Linked DNA regions of Struthio camelus. The main gene of each other region encodes a partner of the protein of the gene in region 2 in a complex. Links are inferred from orthologs where the notes say so. Each region holds a gene or a part of one and is shown on either strand. Other genes may lie near its edges.

Evidence for each region.
Region 1: the proteins of PER2 (region 2) and CRY2 are in contact, whole or in part, in a crystal structure (PDB 4U8H), measured with the Mus musculus proteins. The link is inferred for Struthio camelus from reciprocal best matches to the Homo sapiens genes PER2 and CRY2. Residues at the interface, in NP_035196.2 of Mus musculus: Tyr1132, Leu1134, Gln1135, Asp1136, Pro1137, Trp1139, Leu1140, Met1142, Ala1143, Asn1144, Thr1145, Ile1149, Met1150, Met1151, Thr1152, Tyr1153, Gln1154, Leu1155, Arg1158, Asp1159, Leu1160, Val1163, Leu1164, Asp1167, Gln1168, Lys1170, Leu1171, Leu1174, Gln1175, Ser1177; in NP_034093.1 of Mus musculus: Trp58, Ser63, Ser64, Val65, Lys163, Leu166, Thr167, Lys169, Arg170, Glu215, Leu216, Gly217, Phe218, Asn330, Pro331, Ile332, Cys333, Ile334, Gln335, Ile336, Pro337, Asp339, Asn341, Pro342, Glu343, Leu345, Ala346, Lys347, Ala349, Glu350.

The regions. Positions count from the first base shown.
Region 1 is NC_090946.1:40,414,418-40,422,316, reverse strand, and holds the start of CRY2 (cryptochrome-2), read left to right. Parts: upstream 1-4,868; 5' UTR 4,869-4,925; coding exon 4,926-5,119; intron 5,120-6,905; coding exon 6,906-7,014; intron 7,015-7,899. Other genes in the region: SLC35C1 (GDP-fucose transporter 1), read left to right, coding at 1-231, 2,224-2,783. UniProt on the Homo sapiens protein: Transcriptional repressor which forms a core component of the circadian clock.
Region 2 is NC_090950.1:9,392,315-9,399,992, forward strand, and holds the start of PER2 (period circadian protein homolog 2), read right to left. Parts: upstream 3,027-7,678; 5' UTR 2,899-3,026; intron 2,680-2,898; exon of another isoform or gene 2,589-2,679; intron 1-2,588. UniProt on the Homo sapiens protein: Transcriptional repressor which forms a core component of the circadian clock.

The DNA of each region.
Region 1 (7,899 bases), on a different chromosome or scaffold from region 2:
CCGGCCTGCCCGCCCTCCGCCTCGACCCCAAGGTGTCCCGCAGTGTCCTGCCCCTCTCCGCCGTCTTCATCGGCATGATCACCTCCAACAACCTCTGCCTCAAGTACGTCGGCGTGGCCTTCTACAACGTGGGGCGCTCGCTCACCACCGTCTTCAACGTGCTGCTCTCCTACCTGCTCCTCAAGCAGACCACGTCGCTCTATGCCCTGCTGGCCTGCGGTGCCATTATAGGTGAGCAGGGCCGGGAGGGCACCTGGCTGCGTCGCGTTGGGGCCCCGCGGGCACCTGTGTGGTGTGGACCCACCATGCAAGCAGTGCTGCGGCCTCGGAGAGCTGGAGCAGGGTTTCCCCTGAGGCTGGGCAGGTGACTGGAGCGAGGCCTGATTAACAGGGTTTTGGGGTCCTGGTGTCTCATTCTGTTGGTTGTAGCACACTGTTGTATTGCTTCGTCTTGTGGGGTGAACCCTGTTTGCTCTCTGGCTGTTGTCACTGGCATCTCAAGTCTCCAGCCGCTCAGGGGTATGTATCCCTGCAAAGCAGGGAGTGCTAAACTCCCACAGGCCTAATGAGAGCTTCCTGTCCTTTATTTGCAGATGTTGTGCCGCACCCCTTGGTGGGAGGCAAAGCCATAAGTGAGTGGTGATCCTGCAGGGCACTTGGGCTTGGTAGTGCTGTTCTGGCCTTATGCTCAGACCTAAATACTGAGCTGACTCCCCTAAATACTGAGCTAGGCAAAACTGTCCTTCCCTTTGATAGTCTCCTGCCATGTACACAGCTGCTCCCTGATGAGATAGTGTAACTTTAGAGCTCTCTTCTTTGCTCTGCCGTGGACAATTTGCTTGCATGTTGAGAACATGTAAGGAACAGCCCGTATGAGGAAATAACTCTTTTCTGACTGTTGTTTTTTTCCCTTCCCTTTGAGCACTAAGCAACTGTCAGCTCTTCTCCACTGAAGTTTAACTTACCTTAACGTGCTATTATTTTTTCACAGAGGCCTTAAAATGACTGGTTGTTTTCTCCTTACTTTCAAATGATTCTGGCATTATTAGCTTTGATAACAATAATAGTGTTTAATAACTAAACAGTATTGTGACCATACAATGGAGCCTGTCATTTCAGACAGGCTGAATGCATATGATGAAGGGTTAGCTAATCAGTCAAGCCTACTGCACAACCAGAGCTTCTGATGTTTGAAGGCAGTAGGCTTTAAGGGCACGGCTTATGAGTCTTCCATTCCAAAGGCATCAGTAATGCCAAAAGCAACCTTCCACTTGATGGCCATTCAGATGCCAAGGATAGTGAATTTCTTATTTTAGTCCATTTCCAGGTGGATATGTGTTTGCTCCAGTGCTTAGACAAGCAGATGGATTTGAAGTAAAATGAGTTAGGAGACCCTCTTCCCCACAGAAGGGGTGAACAGGAGGGCCTATCTGACAAACAGGTACTTATTTTTTTGCAAGTGATGCAATTGGCTTCAGTGTTCCTTCAGTAGCTGATCTCCCCGTTACGGTTTTCTTATGAGCTGGATGAGGGGAAGTCTCCCTCTGCCCTGTGGAGACAGAGTCTGTAGTTCCTGTTTCAGAGGTGGTTAAAGAATGCACCGACTTTCAAAGTTCAACATGGTAAAGACATTGCACTCGGTTTCTGTCTAGTGATCTTTTTTGCTAAAGCTTTTTAGTGTTACAGCCACGTGTTTTACAGTCTTTCCTTCTTCTGATTTCTCTTTTTTTTTTTTCTTCCTATAACAGTGCAGCAAGCCCAGGTGGGTTGTGGGGCCTGCTTCCCCCTCACCCCCCTGTGGCAAGAGAGGAATATTTCTTGCTCCCTGTGTGTCCCATTCACTTCCTTGTCAATAAAAAAATGACATGATCTCCTTCTGAAAGTGATCTGTACACAAAGAATATCTTTAACTTTAGTTCGTGACTTTTTGGAATAATTCTAAACTCCTGCTGCCTAATTGCTGTAGATTCTTGAAGATTGAATGATTGTGCAGTAAAACATCTGTGCTCTTAAAAACAAACAAACAAAAAGCACCCTTCCAGAACACTAGTCATGACACACTGTAGATTTGCATAATAGAAAGATGAAGCCCTTAAGCCTGTCTCTGCTTGTGGTTGTGGTTTTTTTCCTTTTCCAGTGTAAGGTAGATGATAAATCATTGACCATATGTGTTTTGAGTCCTTCACTGGTTGTTCAGATTGTTCCTGATTTGTTTGGTTGCAGGTGGCTTCTGGCTGGGTGTTGACCAGGAAGGAGCAGAGGGCACTCTGTCATGGGCTGGTATATTCTTTGGGATCTTAGCAAGCCTGTGCGTCTCACTCAATGCCATCTACACCAAGAAGGTGCTGCCTGTGGTGGATGGTAGCATCTGGCGCCTGACCTTCTACAACAATGTGAATGCTTGTGTCCTGTTCCTCCCCCTCATGATGCTGCTGGGCGAGTTCCGCACTCTCTACCACTTTGACAAGTTGGGGAGCCCCAGTTTTTGGGGCATGATGACGCTGGGTGGAGTGTTTGGCTTTGCCATTGGGTATGTGACTGGACTCCAGATCAAGTTCACTAGCCCGCTCACCCACAATGTCTCTGGGACAGCCAAGGCCTGTGCCCAAACAGTGCTGGCTGTTGTCTATTTTGAGGAGACAAAGAGCTTCCTGTGGTGGATGAGTAACTTGATGGTTCTGGGGGGCTCATTTGCCTATACCTGGGTGAAAGGGCTGGAGATGAGGAAGGTACAAGAGGAACCTACTCTCAGAAGCAGTGAAAAAAGTGAGACTGGTGTGTAGGCAGCTCTAGCCTGCACCTCTGCTTCTGTGCCTGGGGAGCTAACCTTCAATGCAAAAGGAGCTGGGAGCAGGAAGAAGTTGACCTGCGAAGTGTATGAGAAGTTGTGTCAGGAACCAGAGCCAAAGGCCTGTCTGGACTGTATTTTATTCACTGAATCTCACCCTGTCTCTGAGTTGGGAAAGCATGGCTTAGAAAGACTGATCGGTTACAGTGATTTCTTTTTAAAACGCATGTTTCTGTTCACCTAATCTGGACAACTTGCTTCTCTGGAGGTTGGAGGTACAGTGGACAAAGAACAGGATGAGAGCTGTGTGTATATGGTGATAGAGAATGACAGCAAACTGAATTAACATAGTCTGAAATGATGAAATCCTGAACCTTCATGAAAGGAAGAAGCAGGTAGCCAGACTGTCGGGGACAGTCTCCAGTGAAGTGTTCCCCTATAGTAGAATTGGCAGGAGTAATTCTTCCCATTACTCACCTTAAAGCAAAGGACTGGAACCTTCCTCCCTTCTAGTTCTGTACAAGTCTAAGCAGAAGCAGTGCCTCTAAATCTCATGTCCAAAGAGCCAGCATCTCTTCCTGTTGAGGTCTCTTGTGGCTATGTTTCTGTACATCAGGTTTCTTAGTTCAAGAAACTGTCCAAGAGGCAGGGCCAAACTTCTAATTCCCTCTCTACCTTCTTCTGCAGAGGGAGAGCATGTTGTCTTAAATGGTGTGCCTTTGTTGAAGAGGAGCAAGGTGTCTTCCTATTTCAGGATTAGAAAGGAGGAGGGGGGAAAACTTGTGTAGGGTGGAGATCCCAGGACAGAGTTCACATTTGTCCTCTTTCCCCTCTGTGTAGGGGAGAGGTTTGTGTCTGACAACTGTGTTGTTACTAATTAGGCCAGTTTCGGGGGACTTGTGCCATGCCTCCTGTTGATCCCCCTCTGGTGTTTGTGGTTTGTCTTTTGGCTTGTTCCTTGTAACTTTTTTCCTCCTTTTCCCCCACGTCTGGTTCAGTCAATCCTTTGCCAACCCCCCACTTCCCCTCCCCCCCCCCCCCAGATCTGCCCAGCTGCAACAATCACTTTAAATTGGAACTTGCATTTAGGCTTCCTCTGAACAGTGGCAATCCTGCAGAACTCTTCACCCCATCTGGTCTTGTGCCAGTGCCATCTGAGGCTACTCTAAAGCCATGATTTCTAATCCTTATAAGCAATGACATGCTGTAATAAGTTGTCATGCTGTATTGTATACTGTATCAGCTTTCTAAACTCTGGGCCCCTTAATTCAAAGGGTTATATGAATAGGGATTTTGGGCAGTTGGTGCGACTGCTTTGTAGCATGGCTGGGTGGACCCTATGTGATGTCTGACCACTGCTACAGAAACGCTAGGACACTTATTTCTGTCCTGAGCGTGTTTCTTTCTGGTTTCAGGGGTCCCTGCTCAACACTTCTTGACTACGTTTACCACCTTGGTGGATGCCTCCTCTCATTCTTTTTTTGGTGGTGGAGGGTGGGCTTTTTGGTCCTCGAGGTTTTTCTATCAGAACAGACTTTTTTTTAAAAAAAATGATGCAAATACTGACTTGTAATTGTCAAACCTGTTGAATAAAAATGGATTGGTATCTTGGTCTGTCTGACTGAAGAGCTATTCAGCACCTGGCCAAGGGAATAGTGCCTCCTGGAGCAAGGAACGAGGAAACGGAACAAGGAGATTGCAAGCGCGGGTGGCTTCAGATGTCAAATTTGCTTAAGACGTTAAGGAACAAATAAGGTACCCCTCTCTTCCTGCGTGTGTGCTGGGGAGGGCTTCGATTGGACTCGGCTGGCTGCTGACTTGACTCGCTTAAGCCAGCGCAGCTTCTCCGCGTCCCCGAGCGCCCGAGGCGGGCTCTGCCTGCGCTAGGTGGGCCGGGGGAGGAGCTGCCCCTGCCCGGGGGGGGCTGACGGACCGCGCCCGGCGGTGGGGGGCGGCGGGGACTGCGGCCCGGGGGAGGGGGGAGCAGCAACCCCGGGTTGCTGCCGCGTCGCGGCCGCTGGGGGGCGGCCGAGCGCGGCGCCGGGGCCTCGGCGCCCCTTGACGGTGCGGCCCCGCCCTCCGCCGCGTCCTGCCCGTGGCGGGGGCGGCGGCGGCGGCGGCAGCAGCAGCAGCAGTGATGGCGGCTGCGGCCCCGGTCCCGGCGGCGGCGCGCGGCCCGTGCCGCTCCGTGCACTGGTTCCGCCGCGGGCTGCGGCTCCACGACAACCCGGCGCTGCAGGCGGCGCTGCGGGACGCCGTGGCCGTGCGCTGCATCTATATCCTGGACCCCTGGTTCGCCGCCTCCTCCGCCGTGGGCATCAACCGCTGGCGGTGAGCGGGCCTGTCGCGACACGGGGGGCCGGGCCCGCAGCTCCGGCGGGCGGTAACGGGGGCGCGCGGCGGGGAGCGGCGCCCGCGCCGGCAGCGGGAGGGGCGCGCAGGCCCCCGGCGGGCTGTGCTCCGGTTACCGGGGCTGCGCGGCTGCCGAACGCGCCGGGGGCCCGAAGCGGCCTGCCCGCCCGACGGGCCCTTGCGGACGGCACGGCAGGCAGAAGCGGCCTTCGCCTGCTGCTGCCCTGCTGGCGCCGGGCTCGCGTGCGGGAAGCACAGCGGCGCGCCAAAGGCTTGGCGCGTCCCTGCTGCGTGTAGTCCTTGCTTCCCTCCCTCCGCGATGCTGGTGGAAAAGCAGTTAGCGGTCTTATTGGTGTTGCAGTCATGAAATATGCAAGCGTGTGTATATATGTCTATATATATATATTTTTTAAGTGTCTTCTTGGAGGTGTATGCTTTTTGCAAATAGCATCAGAAGCTAGCACCCCTGGCTGTTAGGCAAAAATGTGCTGGGTAAATACGTTAGTTATATTTACTGGAGCTCCGTTGTTTCCCAGAGGAGCCTTGGCTTTGTTTTGCTATTTTTTTTAATTCTGCAATTGGTATTCAGAGGTCTGAGCTCCAAAGGCAAGTGTTTGTGTTTTACCTAACTTCCAGAAATTTATCGTGTTGAAAAATTACCTGTCGCTTAACCGCATAGCATATGGGTGAGCTAAATAATAGCAACGCTTGCTCAATTTCCAGAGCACTGTGGAGAGAAAGGCAGTATTGCTATTTAACAGATGAATACTGAGTGGGGGGTAGGGGAGTGGTTTGTTTTGATTACCCAGACCTGGTTCTGGGTCTTCACTACTGTGCTGCTTCCTTGAAACCTTAGTCCCTTTCTCCTTCAGGAAGTGCAGAGAGAGCTTTGTCTGTCACAAAGCTTGCAATTCACGTTATGAGCAACGCAGCTGAGCAGAGAGGAAGTACCCAGACTGCAAGACAACTGTAGCTTAGTTTTCCTCTTAACTTTGCATGGTCTTGAGTTGGTACTGCAGATACTCCTGTCTTACAGGTCAGGCTGCAGAGCCAGTATGTAGGGGAGAGGGAGAGGTTGCAGACTCCCTTAGGAAGGGTTCTGGATTTGCACGCACTGCCGCATGCTCTTGCAGAGATTAAAGTTCAGTTAAGGCTGGCATCATTCATAGTTTTGGGCAAAACAAAGGAAGCCAAGTGATGATGCAGATAGAGTTACGCTGGTATACTGTGAAAGCAAAGACGATATATTTGAAGTCGTACGGCATGGTGTGGGATCAGGAAGACATATTGTTAATAAAGTACTTAAATGCTTTTTGACAGCTTTGGGCTAGTAGGGAGCAGATAAATATCTTAGCGTGCTCTCATCTGCGTGATGGAAGATAAATTGCCGTTCTGTTTGCAACTGTTCTCTAAGTATGGCTGCCATGTGGAGAGACCCGCTGACGGGGGGGGTATCAGCTCTGAGAGAAAACACAGGAAGGGTAGGGACTGCAAGAAGAAAATCCTGGAGAGCTCTCTCATTTGGCTAAGCAGAACATGCATGTGAATGGTTGGGGACTGGCTGGTGCTGCAAAGTCTTAACAGTTAGTAGACAGACCAGGGATGAAGAATAACTTTTATTTTCTACATTTCTTGTCCTTTACCTTTTGTTTGGAGAACTGATTGGTGGTGCAGGTTAATTGGATTTCCATGTAAATCCTGCTCATTTGTCTTTTAGCGGTAACCAATCTGACCGACATGAACTGCTCTTGTTTCTTCTCTGCAGGTTTCTACTCCAGTCCCTGGAAGACCTGGACAACAGTTTAAGGAAACTCAGTTCCCGCTTGTTTGTGGTACGAGGGCAGCCAACAGATGTCTTCCCAAGACTCTTTAAAGTAAGAGAATATACTGATTTTATGGAGCATAGTCAGGCAAAACAAATGTCCCACTTTATATGGTATTCTTGTTTTCACTCCCTAGTATCTGGTAGTTCTTGGAGGTCCCCTAGCTTCTCTTTAACTTCGCTACTATCCGTAATGGCCAGCTTAGGAGCCAGATACGCTCTTCCCCTCAGATTTCCACAGAAGTTCAGTAGTAGGGAGTAACCTACTATCAGGATGCTTGAACTTTACTTTTGGGACAGTGGCCTTTGCCTTTGTTTCTGCAAGTCAGGTTCCCTGGGTTGTGCTGTAACCCACCGGTTCCCCTGTATTGAGAGTTTCTTCTCTACTGGAAATTTTTTGTGTTCGGCTTCTACTCAGGAAGACTGCCAGGTCTATACACCTTTACAGACGTCTGAGAAAGCATACTGTTCTACATGTGAGCTGCAAATAAGGCTTTCTGTTATAATTTGAAAATTCAGAAGCTTTTATGTTATCTGTTCTTCCTTTCCTGCTTCCATTCAAGACCTGCAGGGGGTTTTTGTCATTGTTTTGTTTTATTTTGTTGCTGTTCAGTCAGCTCAGTAGCAGAATGTAGCTTGGGTCCAAGTATCTTGAAGATCTACCCTTTAGGACTGTGGAATATGCCGTGACTTCAGGGCCAAAGATGGATTAGTGGGATACGTTTCTGAAGTGATAGATCAATGCTGCAGACTGGGAGAGAGAGGGCTGGCAGGAGGATCTCCTTGAATATCAAGATTCCTCAAGCAGTAAAAGTCTCTGACTCATTCCTCTCTGACCTGTTCTATTATGTTCATTGTTGTCTTTGAAGCTTTCTGACAGCCCCTTCACTAGAGTGACAAAGCTAAATGAGAGATTATGGTTCACCATACCCTTATG
Region 2 (7,678 bases):
CTGCCTACTCCCTTTAGTGCCCGTTTACTGTAGTCCATAAACTTGTCTATTCTCTTTTCGAACCTGCTGGTATCATCTGGCTCCATACACTCCTGTGACAATAAGCTCTAGCAGTTCACCACCTGCTGTGTGAAGTAGTACTTCCTTCTATCCATTTCATGCAGTACTTAGTTAAACTGAGCGCCCTTAGTTCTAATACTGCTGAATTGGGTGAACGACAGTTTTTGCAACTCAGCTTAAAAACTGCCTTTGTGACTTTTGTAAATCTCAGTCACGTACATCCTCAGCCGTCTCCTCTCAAAATACCTTTTCAATTTCTTCTCGCATGGCTTCAACCGTTGATCATTTTAGTTGCCCTTCTCTAACTTCCCTATGGTCAGATCCAAAGCATTCTCCCTTCTACCTTGAAGTAGACACTTGCATGAAATAGTCAAAAAAAAAAAAAAAAAAAAAAGAGACAGAAACATGACTTTTTTTTTCTTTCACTCTGGGCCAAAGGCTCCATCTTTTGCATTATCTCTTTCTAGGAGGATAAACTGCCTCCCTCAGTCCAGCAACAGTCAAGAACAAGAACCCCACACCTCAGGACAGTGTCATAACCACCAGGCTAACAGCAAACCTTGGATGAATGGAGGACACTGTCCAGTTCTCCAGTAAAATGTCCTCACTGCGCAGAAATAGTACCAGTTTCTGCAAGAACAGGCAAAAAAAGATCACAAGAGCATGCAAACACACACAAACAGAAGCAAGATGGAAGTTGATGTCACAGAGCAATAATGTGGGCCCTTCTCCCTGACCTGAGTCAAATTCTGGGCCCTACTCTTTGTATTCAAGAGCCACTCCATAAAGTGTACAAACAGCACTATGCCCAAGGCATAGTGGACACGGATCACAGACGCATACAGACACTGAGGCACCCTAGAAGATGACAGAAGATGAGTTTCATCAAAGTCAATGCCCAAAAGCCATCTAATACAAAATAGTATCGGTTTCTGGACTAGGGCGACAGGATCAAATCCTCGGTTGCCATGAGTCTGAGGTGCTTCAGTTTTATCATCACCACTACATATTCCAAACTAACTATTTGCATTTAAGTAGATATGCCTCACTGCTACCTTAGCGGTTCCTTTTGGATATTACTTTGGCAACAAGCAAAAGCCAGCTCCAAAAGGTATCTGTAGTTTTGAGAAATGTTAACTAACTTCTGTCATCCATAAACAATCTCTGTGCTTAAAACAATACTGGCAATTTGAAACAGCTTCTCACTGTACTAAAGCAGTTTCTGGTACTACTCTTGACTTGACCAGACAACTTTACTGCCAGAGTCATTACAAGATTTCCACCATTTCCCCATTATTCATAAATATTTTTAAATGGTAGATATTCAGCAAGTCAGATGTACAAGATCGCAAACCTCAGAGTCTTATAAAAAAGAAAAAAAAAGGCAGGCATCTCATAGCCTTAAAAAAACCAACACATTTCTTCAAAATCCATCCTATGCGCTGTATCAGACAAGTTATTGGGAATCACAGGAATACAGTTTCAAAGGCCTTCAGTTTCCAAGTACCAAAGACCTCATAATGACCTCTTTGGGGGGCTTTTTAAGCTCTTGGGGCAAGAAGAATAATGATGCACCCCATCCTAACCCATCACAAAGTCAGTTGAGTAGCGTCAGCTTGACAGTTATCATACAGCTCATCTGTTTGCATGAAACTGTACTTACATAAACTGTTTTGCAATCATGCATGTAATAGCATGCAACTAATGTCAACAGTAGCAAACCACACGGTCTCAAGGAACAAAGTCTGCTTGCAGGTATTATAGGGAACATTTGGAGGAAAAAAAAAAAAAAAAAGCCAACCACATACACACGGTACCAGTTGCTTATTCCATACGTTTCAAGAGCACACTCCGTTTCTGCTACTGCCGTATAGCTCCTCAGGTAGGGGGGGAAAAAATAAACAAAAGACCACCGAGGCAACTGCACAGGGCGCTGCTTCGTCGAGAGGCAAGCGACGGAGTGCCGAGGGGCGGCGAACGCCCACCGGGCCGAGCCTGTCCCGGCTCCCACCCCACGCTCCGCGCGCGCCGGCGACGCCACAGCGGAGCCCGGTGGGGGCCGGTCCCGGGCGGGCGGCGCCGCCGCCGGCCGGGGGGGGGGAAAGGGGGGAGGAGAGGGCGGGACACCGCCTCCGGGCACCCCCGCCCGCCCGCAGGGGGCGGCGTCCCGGCCGCCCCTCGCGCCCGCCGCCTGAGGGGATCGTCCGGGGAGGTGGGGGGGGGGGTCACGGCCACCCCCTCCCCTCGGCCCGCGAGCCCCGAGGAGAGCGGCAGGCGGGGACCCACCGCGCCGCGCCGCCCCGCTCCCGCCGGGAGCCCCCGGCCCGGCCCGGCCCGTCTCCCCGGGCAACCGGAGAACCGCGGGGACTTACGTAACGCCAGCCCGGCGGGAGGGGGAGGGGAGGCGAGCCCCCGTCCCCGTCCTCACGCCGACGCCCCCTCCCCTCCTCCCCGCCGCCACCGCCGCGGGACCCCCCTCCCCCGGCCCGCCGGCCCCGGCCGGGGCGCGGCGAGGGAGCCCGACTCACCGAGCGCCCCGCGTCCACCCGGCCCGGCGCAGCCCGGCACCGACTTCATACAGGCTGAAACGTGACTGAGGCCGGAGAGCCCGCCCCGCCCGGCCGGCTATTGGCCGTCGCCGCGTGACGGCACCCGGGGAAGGGGGCGGGGGCGGCGCGCCAGCCTCGCTGATTGGCCGCGCCGGACGCCGCTCATTTTACATAAGCCTCACGTGTGACACCATGTTTCCACCGGCAGCCGCGATCGTCTGGCCCAGCCAGCCCGCCCGCCCCTCCCCCCGCCCCGGATGCGTCCCCGCCGCCGCCGCGGAGCGCTCACCGCCGCTACCACCGCCGGGCGCCTCGCCGCCTCCTGCCGCTCCGCTCCGCTCCGCCCGCGCGCTGCTCAACGGCCGCCGGACCGCGCGGCTGCCGCCCGCCGAGCAGGGCACAGGTTACATCACGCCTGGGGGGAGGAGGCGCCGCCCCGCCCCTCGCAGCCGCCCGTGACGTCAGCGCGCGGCCCCGCGCCGCGCACGGACCGTTGGCCGCCGGCCGCGCGCGCGAGCTCGGCTCCGTCACCAACGGCCGCGCTCGGGGCGGGGCGGGGCGCGTTGCCGGGGAGCGCCGTACACAGTCCCCAAACAGCGGCCGGCTGCCGCCGCGGGCGCCCCCGGCCCCGCCGGCAGAGAGCCGGAAGCAGCGTTGCGGAGCGGCCTGGCGGGCGGCAGCCGGAGCCTTCAGCGAGGCCGGGCCGGCGGGAGGCGCTGGGCTCTCGCTTACATAAGCGAGGAGCGGCCGGGGTCCGGTTTCCCGGCTGGGCCGCCTCACGCCCTGCGGTTTCGAAACCGAGCCGGCGGAAGCCTTGCCCGGTCACCAGGCAAAGCGCGGCGCCTCTCGCCAGGGCCGTCGGCTCAGCGTCGGTTGGAGCGGCCACAGAAATCGTTAGGGTAGAAGTTGTTGTGGGCCGTTAACAGGTGGGCCCTGCTCGTTTGTGGAGAGCGAGGCCCTGACGGCCTGCTCGCCGGGTGGTTGGCTAGCTCCCATTCCACAGCCGATGTTTATATTTAGTCCAGAAAATTAAGTCTTTTTGCCTTCGGTTCGGACCAGACACGCAGAATATTGGCGTTTTCAGTCTTACTAGGAGAAGAAGAAGAAGAAAGTTGATTTCTTATGACATTCGTCACGCTATTTTTTTTTTCTTTGCGCAGGCCCCTATGCCATCCTAAGCGGTAGTGACAGAGAACGCGAGACTTGTATTGCCGCAGTTCAACAGCGAGCTTACCTGCTGTTGAATAGTTCACTGGCACTGTTCTAGGCCCCATGTCTTCCCAGGCTGAGTGGAGCAATCAGTAGCTGAGAAATCAATGATAATTTAGCCATCTCCTAAACCTCCTTTGTCCTCATAGTCATACTATGAAAGGTGCAGAGGGCACGCCAAAGGTCTGTCAGTCTCTCTGTGAATACTGCAATCTGGTGCAACAGCATTTTTACACTCACTTGGCACGCGTGCGATTACTCCATAAGATGTAAGACAGCAGAGAGCCATCAGGGCCTCCACTGTTTATCTGCAAAATGAGGTTAATGCTGCTTCCCTCCCTCACTGTGGCGTTAGGGCTAAGTCCATTAGGTACATAGATATTTAAGTGACGGCTGTTACAGAAACAGCCTATGAGTAAGATACTGTTGCAGTATTTATCTCCTGGAGAGGGGAGGGAGTGGGGGAGGCGGAAGCATTAGGACCAGTTCCTGCAACTGGATTTGTTGCAATGCACAAGTCAGCTTAGCAGGATCCCATTTTTAGTTTACGCTCCTCTGAAGAGTCTAATTTAGAGACTAATCCTAATTAGATATTCTCTGTGTAGTGTGGTGAACTTACTGCTGTTGCAGCACTGTACGTCCAAAACTACTTCCATCTTGTGTGTTAAGTCCTCGTGGTTTGGAGGAACGTAGAATGACGTTCTTTGGGTTCCATGGGACTGAAAAGATGAATGTTTTTTGCCTCATAGGCCAGAAATACTTAATTTTGTGTGCTAAGGGCATACCTCTAACCACAGGTTCAGCTTCACAAGGCGCTTCAACTGAGGTGAAAGTTTGAACCCACCCTCGTCAGAAGGCACAAACGAGGAGCTGGAAGCAACTCTCGCACTGCACCACAGCTCTGTGAGTCCGCCGAACAAACATTCATCACTGTAGCGGAGCGTGCTAGTTCTAGCAGGTAAACAGTAATCACCATCACCAGAAAAAGCTAGTGTCTTTTTCATACCCTAGTAATTCCCACATTACGTGAGTCCCCTTTATATTAACAGGATATTAACAAAAGTATTTTGGTCAAGCTATATACTTACAGGGAATCATTTTCAAGTTCTATTCCTGCCACTTCTTATTGTTTGCAGCTTTTTTTATTGAGTTATATTAATAACTGGAGAAAACACTGATACTCAAAATATGATTGTGCATCTTTAACCTGTTCAGTCAAAATTTTTGTGTTGTGCCAGTTTTCTAGAAGTTGCAATCATATAAAAATACAAGTTATTCCAAACAATACCAGTATAACATAACAAGTCAGCGACATGACCTCTAGTGCAGTGAATCTACTGCATTGTGTCTACTGACACAATGATTCTTCTGCTAAGAAACAACGCAAAAGAAAGTGATTGCAAAATAGAGCAGGACAAAGTTAGTAGAGAAGCAGTTTGTTTTGGTTTTAAGGCTTGCTCTTTCTAGTGTAGCTATACGTAGCTATATGTAGTGTATCTAGTAGCTATAACAAGGGTTTTACTAGCAGGGTGAATAACATTTTGTGTGCGCACAGACACAATGGAGTATTACAAAATGCATTAAAATGTTTGTGGATTCCTTTCCAGCTTTATTTATTCTTTTGTATCCAGTTGTATCTCTTGGAGCATGTTGAAATAGTTCAGATATAAGGCATGTCCTTTTTATGCATCCATTTATATATCCCTTTCCTACATCCATTTCACCATGTAACATACCACATCTCACACTAACATCTACCCAAAGCAGCTTTTCTTTGAGGAGATGTGGCATTGTCCTTTACTGTATGCTGCTTTAAATTCTACCTGGGGCCACATGTGGTTTCACAAGGCAAATGTCTGCTTGTGTGAAACAGCATGGAAGACAGTGAGCCTTCCTAAGCAGGGTCCATGCATAAGCAGGTAGGTTTGGGCCTTGCCATTTTCTTTACCTGCACAACTGCATTGCCCAAGTTGCACAACTTTAATATCTACTTTTGCAAATGCTACTGAATCGCTTCCTTATCTTGCCTTTTTTCAGTAAAGTAACTTTCTGATATTCCAAAAGATGAATTGGTACAACTAGGCTTTTTTTTTTTTTTTAACTCTAAAGATTTTACTTTAAAAAAAAATCATTTAAAGAGCTCTTTTTGTGACACTCTAGTACTTCCCAATATTATCAGAATTTTCTTTCCCCCTCCCCGCCCCCCCTCCCCCAAAATGCTGGGGCTTTTTGCACCATAGTTAAATTTAGAATTTTTGCTTAATAAAAGCATTTCAATCCACTTGGATAAGTGGCAACATATTGAAAGTATCAGCATTATTTTTTGACAAAAATATAATAAAGTCCTTCAACGTCAAAAGAAAGAATTTGAGACTTTTTGAAAACTATCTAAGGATTGTTTGCTTACGTTTGGTTACCACTTAGGGAAATAGGACTCATCTATTCGAGTAACTATATTTCCTTATCCATTTGACCACTTGCAGCCATTACCCATAATGAATTATATCACAGCATTGATGGAACTCTATACTGTTGGAAAAAAAAAAAAAAATCAATATTTTGCAGCTGGAGCCCACCTCTAATTCTTCATTTCCTAAGCCTGGCTAATTACTCACCATTTACAGTTGATGCTGATATTCATTGATTGTTGCAGAGATCCGGAAAGGCTTCTTTTGCTAATGAACAAAAGGCATCACTGTTACTGTCTATAAAGCTAAAGGATGAGGGAAGAAAGAAAATACTTTCCTCATTACCAGTGAAGCTATGGATAGTTTTTTTTCTAAAAGCATTGTAAAGTGTAGGAATAAAGTATAACAAGCAGAAAAAGAGTAATATCTATACAGTCTTGGAAACTCTTTAATTGGAAGATAAAGTAACATAAGCATGATAAAGACCTCGAACTTGAGCAGCAAGTTTCTGAGACGTGCTAGTCCTTTGCAAAGGCAAGGGTAGTTGGCCCTGGCCAGAAGACCTTTCCTAGTGAGTTCTGGGAAATGTAGTTTTTCATTATGCCCTCATTTTTAATAGTTTTCTAGTTATTTTTATTAGATTCATCTTCTATTGACAACTTCAGTGTAATTTCAGTTTCAGGTGTCTTAAAAAAAATTGGCAAAGGGAAGAGCACTGAGTTGTTCTGTTTTAGACTGACTGGAATGATACAAATGGAAGGGATGTATATCATCAGTGTAACTATATGTGCTGATCCCCAAGTCTCGTACATGAATTCAGTAGCGGAATACAGCTCTCGGCACTCCAGGTCCAGGATCCTGCTGTTTAGTGTGTACTAATAAAGCGTTGTCTGCAGTGAGCCTCATAGAAGGCTGAAGAAAGCAAGGTATCTACCTTGCTACTGAAATTGAATCCACACTGCTAAAAAAAGGTATCTAAGCTTCTTGTACAACTTTTTGCAAGCATTAGTTTGTGCTTTCAAAGTCTATCTAAAGTGATCAAAGACACTACATCCACCAAGTGGAATAACTCTGCCACCTCCACTAGGTTAAAACTAGAGATTATGCAACTGTGCTGTCAGCCAGACTGGGGAACTCATTTGACTGAAAACATCCCACGAAAGAAAAGGGAGTAGGGGAAGACGTTTTCAGTTGGATCCTCTCACAGCTTCATGAGCACTAAAGCCAAAACAAAACAGCATGGAAGGGCCCAGTTTGGTTTGGGTCAAGGGCCAGGACCTATTGATGTCAGCCTACACTACACAGCACTGTAGATTTTGGCACTTTAAATGAAATTTGTGGCAGCTAATACACATCATTAGACTTGCATAAGATAGCTAGTAGGAAATGCTGAACAGAGAAGTGCATCCTCATTCCTGCCTCCTCTGCTGTATTTATACACCCTCTTCTACA